Linked DNA regions of Stegostoma tigrinum. The main gene of each other region encodes a partner of the protein of the gene in region 2 in a complex. Links are inferred from orthologs where the notes say so. Each region holds a gene or a part of one and is shown on either strand. Other genes may lie near its edges.

What was found.
Region 1: ercc2 (region 2) and polr2c share a complex: the UniProt entries of both Homo sapiens proteins name them as parts of the TBP-based Pol II pre-initiation complex. The link is inferred for Stegostoma tigrinum from reciprocal best matches to the Homo sapiens genes ERCC2 and POLR2C.
Region 3: ercc2 (region 2) and mms19 share a complex: the UniProt entries of both Homo sapiens proteins name them as parts of the MMXD complex. The link is inferred for Stegostoma tigrinum from reciprocal best matches to the Homo sapiens genes ERCC2 and MMS19.

The regions. Positions count from the first base shown.
Region 1 is NW_026728366.1:52,453-59,946, forward strand, and holds the start of polr2c (DNA-directed RNA polymerase II subunit RPB3), read right to left. Parts: upstream 3,092-7,494; 5' UTR 3,019-3,091; coding exon 2,933-3,018; exon of another isoform or gene 2,917-2,932; intron 1-2,916. UniProt on the Homo sapiens protein: Core component of RNA polymerase II (Pol II), a DNA-dependent RNA polymerase which synthesizes mRNA precursors and many functional non-coding RNAs using the four ribonucleoside triphosphates as substrates.
Region 2 is NC_081392.1:21,347,438-21,354,454, forward strand, and holds the start of ercc2 (general transcription and DNA repair factor IIH helicase subunit XPD), read left to right. Parts: upstream 1-3,995; 5' UTR 3,996-4,083; coding exon 4,084-4,088; intron 4,089-5,429; exon of another isoform or gene 5,430-5,764; intron 5,765-7,017. UniProt on the Homo sapiens protein: ATP-dependent 5'-3' DNA helicase. Component of the general transcription and DNA repair factor IIH (TFIIH) core complex, not absolutely essential for minimal transcription in vitro.
Region 3 is NC_081373.1:12,315,562-12,323,136, forward strand, and holds the start of mms19 (MMS19 nucleotide excision repair protein homolog), read left to right. Parts: upstream 1-4,571; 5' UTR 4,572-4,590; coding exon 4,591-4,675; intron 4,676-7,575. Other genes in the region: ubtd1b (ubiquitin domain-containing protein 1), read right to left, coding at 2,168-2,258. UniProt on the Homo sapiens protein: Key component of the cytosolic iron-sulfur protein assembly (CIA) complex, a multiprotein complex that mediates the incorporation of iron-sulfur cluster into apoproteins specifically involved in DNA metabolism and genomic integrity.

The DNA.
Region 1 (7,494 bases), on a different chromosome or scaffold from region 2:
ATCCACAGTTCTTTCGGTTTTTACTTGACAGGATTCATTACTGCCTGCCAGGGTAGTAGAGGCAGAAACCATAATAACATTTCAGAAGTTTTTAGTTGTGCGCTTGTAATGCTGAGGCATGCAAGGTTATGGGCAAAATGCTGGAAAATGGGAATAGAATAGTTAGGTTACAAGGTGTAGAGCTGGATGAACAAAGCAGGCCAAGCAGCATCAGAGGAGCAGGAAAGTTGATGTTTCAGGTCGAGACCCTTCTAGGTAGATCCAGCTCTATACCTTGTTATCTCAGATTCTCCAGCACAGACAGTTCCTACTACCTCTGTAAGAATAGTTGGGTATTTGTGTTTGACCAGCGCAGACTCAATGGGCCAATGGGTATTTTTCTTTGATGTAGACCTCTATGACTACATAATCTTATGAGAAAGAAGACTGTAGGTAATAAGCAGTCATAGAATTACATATTCAATGTGAAGCTATCAGGGCTCGGGTGTCTCAAACTAGGATTTTAAAGTAAATAAAGGGATTCATTTGACTGAGAAAGCAGAGCTGGCTAAACTGAGACTAGTTTATGAGGTAGGACAATAGAAACTCAGTGGCAGACTGTTAAAGGCACATTTAATGACTCTCAGCAAAAATTTATTCCGGTGAGATCCAAAGACTCCTCGAGAAGGATGAATCAACTGATGGTGAATAGGTAAACTAAGGTCAGTGTTCGACTGAAAGAAGCACTGTATAATTTTCTCAGAGATAGATAGAACTTCAGTTGCTGGAGTTAGAGATGACGCAGTGTGGAACTGGAGGAACATAGCAGGTCAGGCAGCATCAGAGGAGCAGGAAAGTCGACATTTTGGATTGGAACCCGAAACGTTAACTTTCCTGCTTCTCTGATGCTGCCTGACCTGTTGTGTTCCTCCAGCTCCGCACTGTGCTGTCACTGTACAATTCTCTAATGAGTAGTGATAAGTCAGAGGTGTCGACAGATATTTAAGAGCCAGCAGTGAATTTAAAAAATTACATAAATATTAAGTGGAGTGGCAGAAAGCAGACTATGAGTGATATCTAGCTAGATGGGAACAAAAACAGAGAATAAAAGTTATAGTATTAGTCCTCTTGTGACAGTGAATCTGGAGGATTGAAAATGGAAATTAAAGAAATCACTGAGATTTTTACCAACTATTTTATGTTGGGTTCCGTGTAGATACTGAAAATCAAGAGGTGATACAGAGAGACGAATTTCAAGTAATCACCATCACCAGGGAAAAGCTGCTGGGAAAACTATTTGACCTAAAGTTTGAAGGTCCCCAGGATCTAACATAGAACAATACTGCGTAGAACAGGCCCTTCGGCCCTCGATGTTGCGCTGTCTTAAAAGAAATTACAAAGATAGTGGGGGATTCATTATAATTTTAGAAAATTCCCTGGATTTTGGAAAAGATCACAGCAGTTTTGAAAATAGCAAATCTTTATTCAATTAAAGTCACCATCGTCTTACTCGACGATAGGACTACTGTTTCATTAGAGAGAGACAACTGCTGGTGGTTTAAACTGAGGGTCACCATAGCTCAGGCAAGAAGACAGGATGAGAAGGGGAGTCCTTCATGGCAACCTCAGCTGGTGCAGGAATTGAACCCATGCTGTTGGCCACACTCTGCAATTCAATCCAACCATCCAGCCAAATGAACTAACCGACCCCTCTACCTTTAAGAACACAGGGGAACAGAAAGCAGGAAACTACAAGCTGCTCAGTGTCACATCCGCCACAGGGAAGATGCTTCAATCAACTCGTAAGGAGGCTATAGCAAAATACTTCAAAAAACGAGTGATCAGAGTCAAAGATAACAAAGCGTGGAGCTGGATTAACACAGCCGGCCAAGCAGCATCTTAGGAGCACAAAAGCTGACATTTTTGGCCTAGACCCTTCATCAGAAAAGGGGGATGGGGAGAGAATTCTGAAATAAATAGGGAGAGAGGAGGAGGCAGACATAAGATGGATAGAGGAGAAGATAGATGGAGAGGGCAGTATAGGTGGGGAGGTAGCAAAAGATCGGAGTCAACATTGTTTTGTAAAAAAGAAATTGTATTTAACTGGTCTTTTAGAGCTATTTGATGAAATAACATCCTAATGAATAGAGAACAACTAATAATATAATAAATTTGTATTTCCAAAAGGTACCAGCTTAGTAGACAGGGAGACATTCTATCAGCATTGATACAATTGGTTAAATAATAGACAGCAGAGATAAATGGTGCATTTTCAGCTTAGCAAGCTGAACAACTGGAGTGCCACAGGGATCAGTTCTGGGCACTGAACTACTCACAACTTAAATCAAGAGGTTGGATGAGATAGTCAAATATACAGCTGCTAAATTTGTCAATGACGGCCCGGAAAATAAAGTGTCAAGAAGTGGAGAGTTTACAATGGGATGCAGATATGTTAAGTGAATGGGCAGATTTAGGAGTCAAGTGCATGAAAAGTGTAACTTTCTCCCCTTTGACGGGAAGAATAGAAAAGCAGCATTTTACTTTTAAAGGTCGAGGGAGAGATCGGAGAACTGAGGTACATAGCGCCATCTAGTTTCCAGGTTGTGAATCCCACAATGGGTTAGCACGCACAAATACAGCAAGTACGAGGAAACTCGATTGAATGGTGGCATTTGTTACAAGGGGTTTGAATATAAAAGTGGGAATGTGCTGTGGGGCCTCGGTGAGAGCACAGCTGGAGGGAGTGGTTTCGTTTTTAAAAGAAATGATGACCCCCAGAAAGTAGTGCAGATCCGAGTTAGCCAGATCCTTCACTGCTCGTACGGTGGGGTTGGGCCATCAGCACCCGGCCCCCAGCACGGGATAGAAGGGCTGAAGGGTCACCTTCCGCACCACCTCAAAGCCCCTTCTCTCTTCCCCCGCCCCCCACCCACCCACCCCAAAAAGCACTGACGAGAGCTCGGTGTTCTCCACGACGAATTTCACATTTTCGTCAGACAGCTCCGTGATCCGCACCGTCGGCTGGTTCGCATACGGCATTGCGCTGCTAACGGCACTCCCCCGGAGGATTACTCCACTTTCCCGACAAGCTCCCTGGCTACCACTCCTCCACTATCCCAGCAAGCCCCGCGGAGCCGCTCCACCCACCGTCCCGGCAGGCTGTAGTGGAGTGGTAATCCGAGATAACAAAGTGTGGGGCTGGATGAACACAGCAGGATCTCAGGAACCCAAAAAGCTGACGTTTCGGGCCTAGACTGAGGAATGGGAGGGAGAATTAAAATGGTTAGCGACTGGGAGGTGCAGTTCTTTTTTTTATTGCGAAACGAGCGGAGGTGTTCTGCAAAGCGGTCCCCAAGCCTCCGCTTGGTTTCCCCAATGTAGAGGGAGCCGCACCGGGTACAGTGGATACGGTATACCACATTGGCAGATGAACATCTGCTTAATATGGAAAGACATCTTGGGGCCTGGGGTAGGGGTGAGGGAGGAGATGTGGGAGCAAGTGTAGCATTTCCTGCGGTTGCAGGGGAGTGTGGAGTGGACAAGGGAGTCACGGAGAGAGTGGTCTCTCCGGAAAGCAGACAGGGGTGGGGATGGAAAAATGTCTTGGATGGTGGGGTCGGATTGTAGATGGCGGAAGTGTCGGAGGATGATGCGTTCTATCTGGAGGTTGGTGGGGTGGTGTGTGAGAATGAGGGGGATCGTCGGTTACGTGGAACAGTCCCTCTTCCGCACCTACACAGGCCCCAAACCCCACCTTTTCCTCCGTTACATTGATGACTGTATCGGCGCCGCCTCTTGCTCCCCAGGGGAGCTTGAACAGTTCATCCACTTCACCAACACCTTCCACCCCAACCTTCAGTTCACCTGGGCCATCTCCAGCACATCCCTCACCTTCCTGGACCTCTGTCTCCATCTCAGGCAACCAGCTTGTAACTGATGTCCATTTCAAGCCCACCGACTCCCACAGCTACCTAGAATACACCTCCTCCTACCCACCCTCCTGCAAAAATTCCATCCCTCCAATTCCTCCACCTCAGCCGCATCTGCTCCTAGGATGAGGCATTCCACTCCTTGGTGAGACCATACCAGATTTGTGTCCAGTTTGGTCTGTTACCTAAGGATATGCTTGCTGTTGAGGGACTACAGCAGAGGATCCCCAGGATGGTGACATGAACCTATAAGGAGTTATGGAGGACTTGGGCTGATGTTTTCTAGAGTTTTGAAGGTTAAGAGATAACCTCACTAGTGCAAACTAAATTTTTACAAAACTCAGTGGAGTAGCTGCAGGAAGCATATTTTCCCAGGCTTCGGTGGGTGGGAACACAGGGAGAAACTGTCTCAGAATAAGGGGCTGAATATTTAGGGCTCAGGAGATTTGTCATACAGAGAAATCTTTGAATGTCCCTTCCACTAAGGGCTGTGGCTCAGTCGTTAATACTGCAGCCACTCAGTGCCAGGGTCCCAGGACTGATTCCAGCCTCAGGCGACTGTCTGTGTCTGCGTGGGTTTCCTCCCACAGTCCAAAGATGTGTCAGGTGCATTGACCGTGCTAAATTGTTAATAGTGTCCAAGGATGTTTAGGTTAGGTGGGTTAGGCATGGGAAATGCAGGAGTAGGGGAATGGGTCTGAGTGGGATACCCTTTGGAAGGACTTGTTGGGCTGAATAGCCTGTTTCCACATTGTAGGGATTCTATGATACATGCATCCTTGCAATGGGGAGTCCGGAAGCAAATTACACGCTGCAGGATTTTTAGATTATGACTTGCTCTTGTAGCCACTATGTTTGTGTAGTACATCAGTCTAGCACAGCACAGGAACAGGCCTCTTGGCCCACCATGTCTTTCTCAACCATGATGTCGTTCTGAACTAATCTCATGTCTCTAAATGCCTCTTTAAAATTATCTTATCCATTTTTACCTGTCATCCAGGTACCTACCACCCTCTTGCGCCCCACCCCCGGCACCTTAAACTTATGCTCCCTTGTATCTGACATTTCCTTGTGGAAAAGCTCTGGCGAACCACCCTTATCATTGCCTCTCATTTTTATGTACTTCTATCAAGTCACCTCTCAGTCTCTGGATGCTCTCGTGAAATCAGTCCAAATCTCTCCTTATAGCTAATACACTCCAATCCAGGCAACATCCCAGTAAACCTCTTTATACACCCTCTTCAAAGCCTCCACATCCTTCCTATAGTGCAGCAACCAGAACAGCGCACACTACTCTAAATTTGACCTCACTGAAGTTTTGTACGACTGAACGACTTGCCAATTCTTATACTCAATACCCCAATGAATGAAGGCAAGCATGCCATATGCCTTATTTATCACCTCATTCACTCTTGTTGCCACTTTCAGGGACTGTGAACTCAGATCCCAAGACCCTCTCTATATCAATGCTCCTAAGGGTCTGGCCATTTACTGCGCACTCTCATCTTGCATTTGATATCACAAAACGCATCACCTCACACTGAAGAAGGGTCCTGATCCAAAAAGTCAGCTTTCCTGCTCCTCTGATGCTGCCTGACCTGCTGTGTTCCTCCAGATCCACACTTTTATTACCTCACACTTGTCTAGGTTAAACTCCAACTGCCATTTTTGAACTCAAATATTAAATAATTGATATCCTGCTTGGACAACCTTATCATCATCCGAAACTCTACAAATACATCCTTCATTATATTCATAAGCACACTCCCTCTGTATCCATATGCACCTCTCCCCCGTGTCGACGTACACCCCTCCCCCTGTATCCCAGACACCACCATCACCGTCCCTGGATATGTCCTGTCTCATCAGCAGGACAAACCCAGGACAGGTGTTGGCACAGTGATATACAGTCAGGAGGGAGTTGCTCTGGGAGTTCTCAACATTGACTCTGGACTCCATGATATCTCATAGCTTTAGGTTAAACATGGGCAAGGAAACCTCCTGCTGATTACCACATACAGTCCTCTCAGCTGATGAATTGGGACTCCTTCATTTGACAACACTAGGGAGAAGCACTGAGGATGGCAAGGGCACAAAATGTACTCTGGATGGATGATTTCAATGTCCACCACCAACAGTAGTTTCGATTAGATTCCCTACAGTGTGGAAACAGGTCCTTTGGCCCAACAAGTCCACACTCCCCCTTCGAGCATCCCACACAGATCCATCCACCTATAACCCACACACCCCTGTACAGTAGGAGCAATTTAGCATAGCCAATCCACCTAGCCTGCACATCTTTGGACTGTGGGAGGAAACTGAAGCACCCGGAGGAAACCCACGCAGACATGGGGAGAACATGCAAACCCCGCACAGTTACCTGAGGCTGGAATCGAACCCGGGTCCCTGGTGCTGTGAGGCTGCAGTGCCAACCACTGAGCCACCGTGCCGCAGCAGTACTACCGATTGAGCTGGTTGGGCCTTAGAAGGACATAGCTGTGAGACTGGAGGAACACAGCAGGCCAGGCAGCATCAGAGCAGCAGGAAAGTCAATGTTGTGATCAGAGATAATGGGAACTGCAGATGCTGGAAAATCCGAGATAACAAAGTGTGGAGCTGAATGAACCCAGCAAGCCAAGCAGCATCTTAGGAGCACAAAAGCTGACATTTCGGGCCGAGACCCTTCATCAGCAATGGGGGAGGGGGAGAGGGTTCTGAAATAAATAGGGAGAGACGGGGAGGCGGACTGAAGATGGATAGAGGAGAAGGTGGACTGCAGCAGTTCGAGAAGGCAGCTCACACCACCTTCTCAAGGGCAATTAGCGACAGGCAATAAATGCTGACCCAGCCAGCAATGCACACTTCCCACAAATGAATGAAAGAAAATATATACACTTCCTCCCTATCCACATGCATCCATCATGGTATCTGACAGCAGGCTACACAGAACTCTACAGGACCATTTGTTTTCTCATTGATTGCTCTTTATTTGAACACACACTCATTACACACCCACACACTCACTCATGTATACATGGTGTACACACCCACACAGACATGTACACAGTCTGCAGCCTTGCCTCAGACAAGATCTCTATGGTGCCAGGTCCACACATTGTTGGTCATGATGGCCAGCACGCTGCTCATTGGTGCTGCCCAATGCCACTCAGGTTCTTCAACTGCAAAGAGAAAAAGGAGCCATCGTCAGCAGCAGCAAGGTGTGGGCCTGAAGGTAAGGAGTAGGGAGAAGAACTTGGCCCAAAGGGAAGGCGCAACCTGAGGGCAGGGAGGAGCCTGGGCCAGTACCCCAGGGGAGGGGCTGGAGCCCGCAGGGTTGAGGAGAAGTTACAGCATGGGATACAGAGCATGGGATTGGCTGTCCTGCCCTCTCCCATAGACTATGGCTATCTCAGGGTAAGTGGCACAGAGTGGCATGAAAGTGGCGATGCTTCAGGCACAGCTACAGACAACACATGGTAAAAGTGGCTTTCAATTGCACCAGTATAATCAATGCTACCCTTTTCCAACACTGGAGGATGGAATCACCCAGATTAGGAGCACCCACCCTGGCCCAGGACCACCTTGC
Region 2 (7,017 bases):
GATTATTTTATATGTTTCAATTAAGTCACCCTCAACCTTCTTCTCTCTAACGAAAACAGCCTCAAGTCTCTCAGTCTTTCCTCATAAGACCTTCCCTTCATACCAGGCAACATCCTAGTAAATCTCCTCTGCACCCTTTCCAAAGCTTCCACATCCTTCTTATAATGCGGTGACCAGAACTGTAAACAATACTCCAAGTGCGGCCGCAACAGAGTTTTGTACAGCTGCAGCATAACTTCTTGGTTCCGGAACTCAATCCCTCTATTAATAAAAGCTAAAACACTGTATGCCTTCTTAATAGCCCTGTCAACCTGGGTGGCAACTTTCAAGGATCTGTGTACATATAAATTCTCCCACTGGGAACACACAGCATGGGTTCATGAAGGGTAGGTCATGTTTAACTAATTTGGTGAAATTCTTTGAGGACATTACTTGGATATGGACAATGGGGAGCCTGTGGGTGTGGTGTATCTGGATTTCCGGAAGGCATTTGACAAGGTGCCACACCAAAGGCTGTTGTATAAGATAATGTTGCACAGCATTACAGGTAATGTATTGGCATATAGAGGATTGGTTGACTAGTGGAAAGCAAAGAGTAGGGGTAAAGGCGTGTTTTTCTAGTTGGCGGTCAGTGGCTAGTGGTGTGCCTCAGGGATCAGTGTTGGGACCACAATTGTTTACAATTTACATAGATGATTTAGATTTGGGAACTAAGTGTGGTGTGTCAAAATTTGCAGATGACTGTAAGATGAGTAGTAGAGCAAAGTGTGCAAAAGACTGAAAGTCTACAGAGGGATATAGATAGCCTAAGTGAGTGGGCAAAGGTCTGGCAGATTGAGTACAATGTTGATAAGTGTGAGGTCATCCATTTTGGTAGGAATAACAGCAAAATAGACTATGTTTTAAATGGTAAAACATTGCAGTAGAGGGACTTGGGTGTCCTTGTGCATGAATCGCTAAAAGTAGGATTGCAGGTGCAGCAGGTAATTAAAAAGGCAAATGGAATTTTGTCTGCCATTGCTGGAGGGATGGAGTTTAAAAACAGGGAGGCTATGCTGCAGCTGTATAGGGTCCTGGTGAGGCCACACCTGGAGTACAGTGTGCAGTTTTTGGTCTCCTTACTTGAGAAGAGATATACTAGCACTGGAGGGAGTGTAGAGGAGATTCACTCGGTTGATTCCAGAGTTGAGAGGGTTGGGTCATGACGAGAGGCTGAGCGGGCTGGGGTTATACTCATTGGAATTCAGAAGAATGAGGGGAGATCTTATAGAAACATATAAGATTATGAAGGGAATAGATAAGGTGGAGGCAGGGAGGTTGTTTCCGCTAGCAGGTGAAACTAGGACTAGAAGGCATCGCCTCAAAATAAAGGGAAGCAGATGTAGGACTGAGGTCAGGAGGAACTTCTTCACCCAAAGGGTTGTGAATCTGTGGATTCCATGCCCAGTGAAGCGGTTGAAGCTACCTCACGGAATGTGTTTAAGACAAGGCTAGATAAATTTTTGAACAGTGAAAGAATTAAGGGTTACGGTGTGTGGGCAGGTAAGTGGAGCTGAGTCTCAAAAAGATCAGCCATGATCTTATTGAATGGTGGGGCAGGCTCAAGGGGCCGAATGGCCTACTCCTGTTCCTAGTTCTTATGTTAATAAGCTTCAAAAACCCAGTCAATAACCCACTCAATAACACCCTAAATAATCCATAAAATATATCACTAAATCCCCAAAACCTCCTCAATGACACCCTTAAATAATACATTAAAATAAATCACTAAATAATCCCCAAAAAACCTCCTCGATAACACCCTAAATAATTCTTTAAAATAAATTACTAAATAATCCCCAAAATCCTCAATACCACCCTAAATAAACCATTAAAATAACTCATTAAATAATCCCCAAAAACCCTCCTCATAAACACCCTAAACAAACCATTAAAATCATCCCCCAATCTTCCTCAATAATATCCTCAATAGACCATCAAAATAAATTCCTAAATAATTCCCAAAAACCTCCTGATCTCTACTGAGCTCAAAAAAATCACTGAAAAACACAATGGGTCAGGCATCATCCACAGACAGAGAACAAGCTAATGTTTCAAGTCTGGATGACTCTTCATGAAAGCTGCCAGGAATACATCCAGTAATGGTTTTGTCTTTTGGATTTCAACATTGAATCCTATTGGCTGTAAAGTGCCTAAGTGGAAGCCTGGCTGTTGTTGGTTGAACTTACATTGTGTATCTTTGGAGAAATACAGCAGTCCCAATGCAAATGTTAATATGAGAACCATATGGTTTATTAAAATGGCATGTGACTGGAAGGTTGAAGTTGGAGTCATTCTTATGGACAGAGCAGAAGTGTTCTGCAAAGTGGTCAGCCAGTCTGCAATGCAGAGGAGACTGCATTATGAGCAGCAAATACTGTAGATTAGATTGAAAGAAGTACAAGTAAAATGCTGTTTCACCTGGTTTGTGTATTTGGTGCCTTAAGCAGTGAGGGGGAATGTAAATGGAAGGTAAATACACCTTCTCTGGCTGCACGGGAAGGTGCCATTGGAGAATGAGGAAGAGTTAGGAGTGATCTAGGATTGGGCCAGTATCTAGTGGAGTTCCTGTGGAATGCTGACATGGGAGGTTAAGGAAAGATTTATTTGATGGTGGCATCCTGCTGATGGCTGCAGAAATGGCAGAGGATAATCCTTAGAATTTAGGGACTGGTGGGGTGGAAAGTGAGGTTTAGACGAACCCAATTGTTGTTGTGGAAGGGAGGGGAATAGGTGAGGGCAGACGTGGTAGAGGTGGGTCAGACATGGTTGAATGTTTGAGGGTCGTGTCAAACATGATGGCGTGGAGTATCCTTAGTTGAGCAAAAATATCATATTAGAGGCCTAGTGCAAGGTAATATCATCAGATCAGATGCAGCAGAAACCGCTCAATAATGCCGACTGATGCTTCAGCTTTAATATTGTGTATGATATCAAAGATCCATTGAGGCAGAACAATAACAAAATAGGGCTCTTTTACATTCAGTTTGAAACACGCATACTTAAATTCAAGATAAGGATATTGAGGTTAAATAAAACCAACTACGGTATGTCATGTGTGAGGAACAAATCATGGATCCCTTGAGCACAGAAGCAGGCCATCAAGTCCATACTGATCCTCTGAAGAGCACCCCATCCAAATCCTTTCCCTCTATTGACCATGGCTAATCCACCTACCTTACACTTCTCAGGATACCTGGGCAATTTAGCATGGCCAGTCCAACTAATCTGCACGTCCTTAGACTGTGGGAGGAAACCCACACAGTCAGGAGAGAATGTGCAAACTCCACGCAGACAGTCACCTGAGGCCGGGATTAAATCTAGGTACTTCGTGCTGTGTTTTAGCAGTGGTAACCACGGAGTCAAGGAAGATTGTTTGTGAAAGTGGAATAAATGCTGTGGAATTTGATAAGATGTGACAGCCACTGAAAGAAATGCTTTAAAATTAATAATGAAACTTTATTCAGTGGTAGACGAATTCCCTAGGAAAAGTGACCCATCTGTGGCTGACCAAAATTCAGGATAGTATCAGATTAATTTAGCCAAAGTGTGAAAATTGTTAAGTCCAGGTTCTGGAGCACAAGAATAAGCCTCATTACAATTGGACAGGAAGAGCAGAGGTCCTGCTGTGTGGATTCTTGGTCTTCAAATGTCAAAGGAATGGGATTCGATGGGCCGAAAGACCTCCTCTGTGCTAAATGACACTGAGATTGTTTGTTTGGAGGGAACAAGATGGATGATTTCCTGAAATAAAGTGGCCTGTGTGTGATGAGAATAATGTGGGTCAGAGCTCTCTGCAGTTACAGTCAATGTGAATGTGTTCTTAGTGCAAGAAGGAGGAGCTACTCCATCTATCCTTCAGAGCTATCGACGCCCAACTCCTCTACCTGGCCGTCGGAGCGGTGTTCGATTGCAAAAGGCTGCAGGAGGTGGGAAGGGAACAGATGGACAGACAATGCAACCAGTGGAGAGCAAAGACTGGGAAAGTGGATCTGTGATTGGTGGAGACTGGAGAGGGCGGGACGTGGAACTGAAGCGGTGAAAATGAGGTGAATGAGGGAGAGAGGGAAGGAGAGATGAGGGAGTGAGGAGGAACAGAGAGGGAGAGATGAGGAACAGGGAGGGAGTGAGGAGGAACAGAGAGTGAGGGCTGGAGAGATGAGGGAGTGAGGAGGAACAGGGAGGGAGAGTGTGAGGAGGAACAGGGAGGGAGAGATGAGGAACAGGGAGGGAGGGAGTGATGAGGAACAGGGAGGGAGGGAGTGATGAGGAACAGGGAGGGAGGGAGTGATGAGGAACAGGGAGGGAGAGATGAGGGAGTGAGGAGGAACAGGGAGGGAGAGATGAGGAACAGGGAGGGAGTGAGGAGGAACAGGGAGGGAGAGATGAGGGAGTGAGGAGGAACAGGGAGGGAGGGAGTGAGGAGGAACAGGGAGGGAGGGAGTGAGGAGGAACAGGGAGGGAGGGAGTGAGGAGGAACAGGGAGGGAGGGAGTGAGGAGGAACAGGGAGGGAGGGAGAGATGAGGGAGTGAGGAGGAACAGGGAGGGAGGGAGAGATGAGGGAGTGAGGAGGAACAGGGAGGGAGGGAATGAGGAGGAACAGGGATGGAGGGAGGGAGAGATGAGGGAATGAGGAGGAACAGGGATGGAGGGAGGGAGAGATGAGGGAGTGAGGAGGAACAGGGAGGGAGGGAGAGATGAGGGAGTGAGGAGGAACAGGGAGGGAGGGAGAGATGAGGGAGTGAGGAGGAACAGGGAGGGAGGGAGAGATGAGGGAGTGAGGAGGAACAGGGAGGGAGGGAGAGATGAGGGAGTGAGGAGGAACAGGGAGGGAGAGATGAGGGAGTGAGGAGGAACAGGGAGGGAGGGAGGGAGTGAGGAGGAACAGGGAGGGAGGGAGGGAGTGAGGAGGAACAGGGAGGGAGGGAGTGAGGAGGAACAGGGAGGGAGGGAGTGAGGAGGAACAGGGAGGGAGGGAGAGATGAGGGAGTGAGGAGGAACAGGGAGGGAGGGAGAGATGAGGGAGTGAGGAGGAACAGGGAGGGAGGGAGAGATGAGGGAGTGAGGAGGAACAGGGAGGGAGAGATGAGGGAGTGAGGAGGAACAGGGAGGGAGGGAGGGAGAGATGAGGGAGTGAGGAGGCACAGGGTGGGAGGGAGAGATGAGGGAGTGAGGAGGAACAGGGAGGGAGGGAGAGATGAGGGAGTGAGGAGGAACAGGGAGGGAGGGAGAGATGAGGGAGTGAGGAGGAACAGGGAGGGAGGGACGGACAGATGAGGGAGTGAGGAGGAACAGAGAGGGAGGGACGGAGAGATGAGGGAATGAGGAGGAACAGGGAGGGAGGGAGAGATGAGGGAATGAGGAGGAACAGGGAGGGAGGGAGAGATGAGGGAGTGAGGAGGAACACGGATTGAGAGATGAGGGAGTGAGGAGGAACACGGATTGAGAGATGAGGGAGTGAGGAGGAACACGGATTGAGAAATGAGGGAGTGAGGAGGAACACGGATTGAGAGATGAAGGGGAGAACTGAAGGAACAAGAGGAGTTACAGCAAGAGAGAAGTGGAGCTTCAGGGGATGGGGAGAAATGGGAGCCGGTTCTGCATAAATTGGGGCCCTGGACCCCAGTGAATAATTGCTGAGGTGGTACCTTCACTGCTGACTGAACCCTTTGCCAGTTATATAACCTTCACATCCACGTGTGGCCTGTCTGCAAGGAGATTGTTGTTGAGTTCCATTCCTTTATTCTCAGTCACTTGATACAACAATGTTCTCAAATTCTCAATGTTACAGGTTTTTTGATAAGTTGCTTTCAAGAACGAGATAGACAGATCTCTTAAAGGTAGTGGAATCAAGGGTTATGGGGATAAGGCAGGAACAGGATACTGATTGTGGATGATCAGCCATGATCATAATGAATGGTGGTGCTGGCCCGAAGGGCTGAATGGCCCACTCCAGCACCTATTGTCTATTGTCTGTTGATGTTTCATGTGACATTAACTGAAATACAACTTGGATGCAAATTGGAAATACTTATCGGGATAGTTTAGAACAAGCTTTATTCTCTCTCTAACTGGGTGCTAGCCCTGCCCTGAGGTTTTTTGACTGGGACATTGTTGAGGGACATTTACTTTCTGTTTAAAACAGTAGATAGAGAATTGTTTTGTGTCTAACCCTCTAGTCTTGCATGTGTTTGATGGAGACAATGTAGAGGAAAGTTTCCTTTCAGTTTAAAAGAGAAGATAGCAGGCACTTTAACTCAGAATTTAACCCCATGCTGTGCCTGGGAGTGTTTGATGGAGATAGTTCGAGAGACATTTTACTAGCTGTTTAAAGGAGTAGAGGAAGCGTTATTCTGTTTCTAATCCTGTGATGCCCCTGTCCTTGGAGTGCTTGGAATGTACAGTGTAAAGGGAGCCTCAATTTCCGTTTAAAAGGCTCTGCATCAACCCAATGATGTACCTGTTAAAAGAGCTTTTTAATAGGGGAAGTGTCAGGGGAGCCTTACTTGGTTTACTTTCAGTTTAAAAGAGTAGAGACAGCTTTACTCTTTATTTAACTCTGTGTTGTACCTGCCTTGGGACTGTTTGATGAAGACAGTGTAGAAGATGCTTTACTTTGTGTTTACTAAGCAGAAGAAATTTATTCTGTTATCTAACCCCATGCTGTATGTACTGTCGCTGAGCTTGGAGATGACACAAATTAGGTGGAAGGGTGAGTGATGATTAGATGCTATAGAAGGATGTGGACAAGCTAAATATATGGGTAAAACTTGGAAGATGTAGCTTAATATGGGAAAACATAAGAGAATACATTTTAGCAAGAAAAATAAAAAGGCTGAATGTTACTCAGACGGAGAAGGACAGCAGAAAGCTGTAACACGTGAATATCCTTGTACATATTCATAAAATACTAATTTACAATTTAGTAGGTTATAGGGAAGGCAAATGGTTTGTTGGTCTTTATTCCAAAGGGGATG
Region 3 (7,575 bases), on a different chromosome or scaffold from region 2:
CACAAACGCTGCCAGATGATTGCTGGAAAAACTCAATCATATTTTTATACTTCATTCCACTATACAAAAGAAATATCTCCTGTCAGACACGAACAGTGGTACAAATGCAACAAACTACAACGGTCGCTAAGAGATTTACGTACAAATTAAGCTTCCACACAATCTGTCATGGTGCTTACTGTTAGACTGTATCCTAATGTGCAAACTTTCAGAGTTAATTGCAAAACTAGGGTTGATCTGTTAGACCACATGGAGCTCTTGGTTCATCACTTTGGTGCAAATCACCCACCACAATCTTATACCAGACCGCTAGATTGGGAAATAATCCCCAATACGGTTGCTTTTGTCATGCAATATAGAAAGCAATATGTTCTGCTTCCTTACTGCAATCATTTTAAATTATTGTAGAAACATAAGATAAATAAGCATTGCAAAAACTGGAAAGAATATGCTAATATGTAAATGTTACAAATAAAGTTCGTAGAAGACATAATTATGAAAAAGCTCAATTAACAATTTGCAAAGGTATTCAACTTCAACTAGTACTAAATTTGAAGATATAAATCTGCACACAACTTCATTAGTCTTCAAAAGAAAATTGGAAATACATTAAGGATACTAAGTACTGGGCTATGGGAAAGAAAGACAATGTTTTTTTTTGCTATCATTCACTCAGTCAGCTCAGAGACCTCATTCAGTGTTGTTATTGTGACTATAGTCATGTATGTTGGAAATCATAGAACAACGCACAGAAAAATCACTGTCTGCTCTCTCCATGCAAACTCTTCACCAGAGTTAATTACCTCAACCCCCTCCCCTGCTTTTTCCTGAACCCGGCAATTATTTCCCTTTTCAGGCACTAATTACATTTGTGAACCCTAGACAAAGATAAACCGGTTGAATTTTCTGCAGAACATTGCCACTTCACTTATTATATGGAAATTCCTGCCAGGAACTGTTTTGGATAAATATTTTAGTTGACTATTCATCTGAAGCAGCTACAGGTAAATTAAGTGGGGTGTGTCCCTATAGACTTGTCCTCCATTGCAGGATGACGAAAACAGCTTGTGAAATAACTTAGTTACGAATACAGCTTATGAAATACCTGCGTGAATCACAAGCTCCTAACATTCACTTTACTAAATCTGATCATCTTATCTCAGACCCCCAAACTGTAGATCAATGAAAAACTGGGCAAAGTTCTGCTGGGATAGGAGAAGCAGAATGAGGTATTGATACCGGAGGTCTGTTCGCTAATGCCAGTCTACTCAAATCTGACCTTAAGTGTAGGTTAACATGAATATCAGCCACCCAGGTGGGCAAAACAAATAATTTTTCTGGTCGGTAAAGCAATCAACTTTGTTTTGAAAACAGTTAAATAAATTTCTTATGCAAATAAGATTGACATGAAAAATTAATTCCATAAAAAGAAAACACATTCCAGCTACAAAGTAAAATTTTAACCCTTACTATCAACATTACTGAAAATGCTTATTTATCCAAAAATGGCTTTTATTGAATTTGACTATTTCAGGGATAACCAGACTTGCTGGCAGTCACTCAAGCTGTGTGTCTAAGAATCGACCAGATATACAGCAGGTCTGCTGCTATCACAAGCAGCATTCAATCTCCCTGCCCACCTGGGTATAAAACTGGCATCCAGGAAGCAAAAACAGACCTTTGGAGACAAAGCTTTTACATGGGGCAGAATACAGAGGTCAGAGATGAGAGTGGGAAAGAAAGAGCTAGAACAAGTAATTTCACTGATACATATCCAAGGTAAGTTCACCTAAACTGAATGGCTACATTAAAACATCGAGCTTTTATCCTGAAAAAATGATAAATGTCTGAGTATCAGTATCAACACAGGCATAAATCTAACATTAGTAGATAGATGGGCCTTGCCATGTAGCAATGGAAGAAATATAAATAAGGAAGTAGCTTCCAAAAGCAGCGCGTGAACAGACTTCTCATTAATTTAGTGAACTACAATTTGGATGGCGATTCTACTAACACAACACTGACACGATGGAAAATATATTGCATTGCTGGAACTAAAATTATGACCAAAAGTGAAAAAAAGTCCTACGCCATTAGCCCCCTGCTGAGCACGCCCAATCGGAAACACTGGGCGCTATCATAATTTTACACTCTTCTGCTGCCTTACCTGTTTTTCTCCCATTGCCACTCCGTCTCCCTAAGCGATGATGTTGCTGCTGTTGTTGTTGCCGGCGTTGGGTCCCCACGCAGCCTCCCATCAATGATGCCCTTGACCCAGGTGCGTCTCACCCACTAACCGCAAACCCACCTGAAGTCTGGGAGAAACTCGCAGCAAGTCCCCTGGAGCTCATGAATTCATTTTCTTAAAGACTCGCCGTCTATCCCCTCCCAAAAAACGCACACAAAAGAAATCCCACGGTCCACCTTTAAGACCCACCAGTCCGTGCAAAGTTTGGATCCAAGATAATCCCTAACCCACCCCAAAACCCCAGTGCAAACACAGAACTACCCCTCCTCTCTCTCCCAAACCAAGTAACAGCCCGTAACCGGGGCAACCAGTCGGCCCTCACCTACTTTACCTGCTACTGCAAAACTACACCAACATCTCTCATCGCTTCACCAACCTTCCCATCTCAGCCAATAAGGCAGGCTCTCTCGCGCTTTCTCTCCCTCAATGTCACAAAGCAAAAGTTGGTCTAATCTGTGAACATACAATTCTGTCTAGCTTCACTCCATATCTTTCGGAAGCTGAACCAGCAGTGACACTCCACTACCAGCCTTTCCCCACCTGAGCGACGTTACTATCAATGTACACCCACCGGCCCAAAGCGCCTGCGCCGTTGCCTTACCCCGCCCGGTGCACGCTGGGTAACGCTGGCCTCCCACACCTGACGCGCGGCCCACCGCGCACGCGCACGGGCACCTGCCACGCCCCCCCCATCGGCGTACTCTTCCTTAGCAACCGGATGCCAGCCGTTACTAAGGCGACCCCCTGAAACTAGAAATGGGGGAAACTTTACTCTGTGCCATATAATAAGGACCATGGGGTAATCTGGGTAACATCAATTGTTGACTAATTCAGAGCTCCAGTCTAAAATCTTGAGTTCGAGTTTAAAAGATTAAAGCAATTTTGAAAGAATTAAATTTGATCAGGGGTCGCAAGAACTGCAGATGCTGGAGTCAGAGACAATACAGTATGGAGCTGGAGGAACAGATTTCTGATGAAGGGTCTAGGCCCGAAGCGTCAGCTTTTGTGCTCCCAAGATGCTGCTTGGCCTGCTGTGTTCATCCAGCTCCACACTTTGTTATCTTGGATTCTCCAGCATCTGCAGTTCCTATCATCTCAGGAAGAAGATTAGGCTAGTCAACTTCTCAAACCTGCTCTACTATACAATTATATGACAGTTTACCTTATTGTAATCTCAAATCCACATTCCCACCAACCCCAATAACTTTTCATTCCCTTGCTTAAAAAGTACTTGTCAAGGTATTTCTTAAAAATATTCAAAGACGGCATTTTCAGGAACAAAGTTCCATTGTTGCTATACAAATTCAAATAATCATCTCTTTAATTTATTTTTTAAAAATGACGATTTGATCAAATTTACAGACAATACAGTATGGAGCTGGAGGAACACAGGAGGTCAAGCAACATTAGAGGGGCAGGAAACTTTCTGATGAAGGATCTAGGCCCAAAATGTCAGCTTTCCTAAGATGCTGCTTGGCCTGCTGTGTTCATGCAGCTCTATACTTTGTTATCTCTACTCTTCTTCCTGATTTGTACATCATGTGCAGGGTTACATTGTGAAGGCAGAAGGGGAATCGGTTAAATTAAATACACATAGGAACTGCTGGAGAACCCCAGAAGGTTTGACAGCATCAGTGGAGACAGAAACATGGCTAATATTTTAAATACAGTGACTCTTTAAGGAACTAAAGAAGGAAGGAGTGGGTTTTATTCTGTTGCTGGGGTTGGGTTGGTGGGTTAAGGCAACCACAGGGGCAGGTCAGGGAAAGGTTAAGAAGATTTGAGACCAAAATTAGTATGGAACAAAATGCAAAATTTTTATTAATAGGCCAAATGGCCTCCTTTATCCTTTCATGGGATGTTGAGCATCACTGGTATTGCCTTTTTAAGAAGAAAACTGACAGTTCACCACATCATTGTGGCTCACATTTAGGTCAAATCAGGTAAGGATAACACATTTCCTTCTCTTTTGGATAACCCTTGTAGCAATATTTCCATTACACCACCACCTCCCTCTTCTGCATTGTAATTATTCTGTGATTTGAGTATTGTTGAAAAAAAAATCAACTTTGACAAAAGAAGAATTTTTATACTACTTCATGTCTGCTTTTTCAACAATACTGAAGCTTTGGACAGCCAAATAACTGCGTGAGTCCGTTAAAAATGTTTTATCTTCTACATTGAATTCAGTCTCTGTTCCCTTTGACTAACAGAATTAAAATCAAAGCTGTCAAGTGAAGGAGTTTCTCTGTGTAGTCTGCAGAGTAATGAGCATGTGATCTGTGCCATTTGCGGTCACGTGACATCCAGCTCGTGGCGCATGCGCGGTTGAGTGCAGCAGCATGGCCGCCGACATGAGGCTGTTAGGGCTGGTGGAGGAGTTTGTGAGTGGGTTGCAGGACGGGGCTGCCAAGGACCTAGCTACAGGTAGGAATGGAAGTGAATGGTGCTGTGTACAGCTATTGTTGTCTGGGAGGACGAGCTGCTGATGGAGGGGTCCCGGGCGAGGAAGTGGCGCCGCCCGTCTGGCCGTGTCACCCTGGTAACGGCGCACGGACCCCAGTTTCCTGACTGGAATCTGTATCTCTTCTGCGCTCGACAGCCCTCACGTAGGCCTCCCCTAGCTTTTCAGGAATCTGTTCAAGTAATAAGCTGAGTATTGAGCAATTCCCTAGGCAAAAAAATTTCAGTTTAAGGTTTGTCTGAAAAATGGCCAGTGTAATGTTTCAGCACTGCCAGAGTTTCTCGAGTTGACCATCAATTTTGGGAGGTTGGCATCTCTGAGCTAATGTTGAAGCCTAGAGATCTAAACTTTATATAGGATATAAAACTGTCTGACTCTTCTTTTGATCTTAACTCCAATTTAGTGTTTATTTACATGTAAGAACATTAAAAAATGCACGTGACCATACAAACCTTTGAGCCTTCACCACCATTCAGTAAGACTTTCTACCCTAACTCCATCCAACAGTACACCCCCCCGCCATGTTTATCTTTATTTTTTTTAGTATCCAAAAATCAATATTTCTCTGTTTTCAATAAAGCCAATTCTTAGAGCATCTTCTAATTTCTGAAATGGCCTACCCTTTATTCTGATAACAGTGATTCCCTTGGGGGAAACATCCTCCCAGAATATACCCTGTAAAACTCTTCAAGAACTTCAGGGTTCCAATAAGATTTTTCATTTTTTTAAACCCCAAAAAACATGGGCCAAGTTTACTGTATCTCTCCTCTTTGGACATTTTCCTCACTCCAGAAATCACATTTAATAAATCTTTGTTGCACTCCCTTGAATACAGATATATCTTTCGTTGAATAAGGAGACAGAATTGCCCTCACTGGTAACCTAGTGACAGTAATTTTGGGTTTTTAATATCTAAATGGATTGAGGCTCTCTTCTCTAAGTTTTTTTTGATTGTGATAAAGCAATGTCCTGATCCCATATTTCAGGCTGCATCTAAGTATGCAAGCTGATTCTTTCAAAGCCAGGTGGATAAAATTAGTTTTACTGAAATTCTGTTTTCTACATTTGACCCCATGATCCTTCCAGAATGTGTTCTTCTATGTTCCTTTGGACTCAGTACTGCAGTCCTTAATGCAGAATGGCCATGTTTAGAACCAGATTCTGAGGAACTGTTAATTTAGGGGAGCAAACTTTATTGGGAAAACAGAGAAAATTGGAGAGGAAAATAAACATTTGTCACTTTGAATGAGAAGCATTTAACAATTTTATAACCGTTCTTGCAATTTAGCTAGAAATACTAAAAATGGCATTTTTAAAATTTGTCTATTGGTAGTGAATTCATTTATTTGTTTTCGCTGACTTTCCCCATTATTCTCATTGAAAAAAAAAGCTATTATGTCAGATGGGTTATCGGTTTCAAAGTGTCAAATTACCTTTCATTAAAATTGATTGCAGGAACTTGATGCTTCTGGATCCAGCAAAACAGTCAATGATAGATAAGACCTTTGAATTCCAAATAATGGCATGCTTTACTGGAATTTCACAGATAGCAGTAATGTGGTATTGATTTGAAAATTATTGATTCACTTAACTTTCCTTGTGGCTGGGAGTTTAGGGCTCTTAAACACCGCATCCACCAGTGATTTCTGCCTTGGGGCAGCAATCTATTCTTAATGTTGCACTGATGTATGTTGCACTTCTTAAAAATGTGGATGTTATGAAATCTCAATTAAATAATAACGTTTGCGATTAGTAATATATACAGGATGGAGAAACTTAGATTACAAATTGGAAAAAAAACTTTCCCTTGTCACAGTCATCGTCATACCACACAGAAACAGACCATTCAGCCCAACCAGTCCATGCTGACCCTAGTCCCACCCGCTTGCGATTAGTCCATATCCGTCTTATTCATGGACTTATCTAAATGTCCTTTAAATATTGTAATTTTACCTACATCCATGAATTTCTCTGGCAGTTCATTCCAAACAAGAATAGCTCTCGGTGCCAAAAATGTTGCCCCTCTTTTTTTCTTAAACAATCTTTCTCCTCTCAGCAAAAGATATCCCCCCCCACTCCTTGTCTTGAAATCCCCCATCTCAAGGGAAAGACACCTACCATCACCTTTATGATTTTATAAGCTCCGATAAGGTCAACCCTCAACCACCTATGCTCCAGTAGAAACAGGGGTCCCAGCTTCTCCTTATAACTCACATGCTCCATTCCTGCTGAACTTTTTCTGACCTCTCTCTGGCTTAATAATATCCTTCCTATGACAAGGCAACCTGGACTGGACGCAGCACTCCAGAAGATGCCTCGCTTAACGCTCCCTCGTTATTTTGCCAGATCAAAAAAGTTTTGACAATGTAATTTTGCTTTTTTGTGAGCATTTCTTCTGTTGTTTGACTCTTGGCAGTGCTCCTACAAGAAGTTTGGAAGAAGAGTTATATTCAACTCAAAGTATTAGCTCCGTTCCATATTCCACAAATGCTGCCTGACCTGATTATTTTATATATTTGTTTTTTATTTCAAATTTATACCATTTGTAACAATATAGAATCCCTAGAGTGTGGGAACAGGCCATTCAGCTCAATGAGTCCACACCAACTCAGAAAGGAGCATTCCACCCAGATTCACCCCTCATCCCTGCACCCCCATCACCAATCCACCTAATTTAGCCACCCCTGGACACTATGGGTAATTTCGTATGGCCAATTCACCTGACCTGGACATCTCTAGACTGTGGGAGGAAACCCATGCAGACATGGAGTGTGCAAACTCCACACAGAGTTCCTCGGGGCTGGAATTAAACATGGGTCCCTGGTGCTGTGAAGCAGCAGTGCCAACCACTGAGCCACCCTGC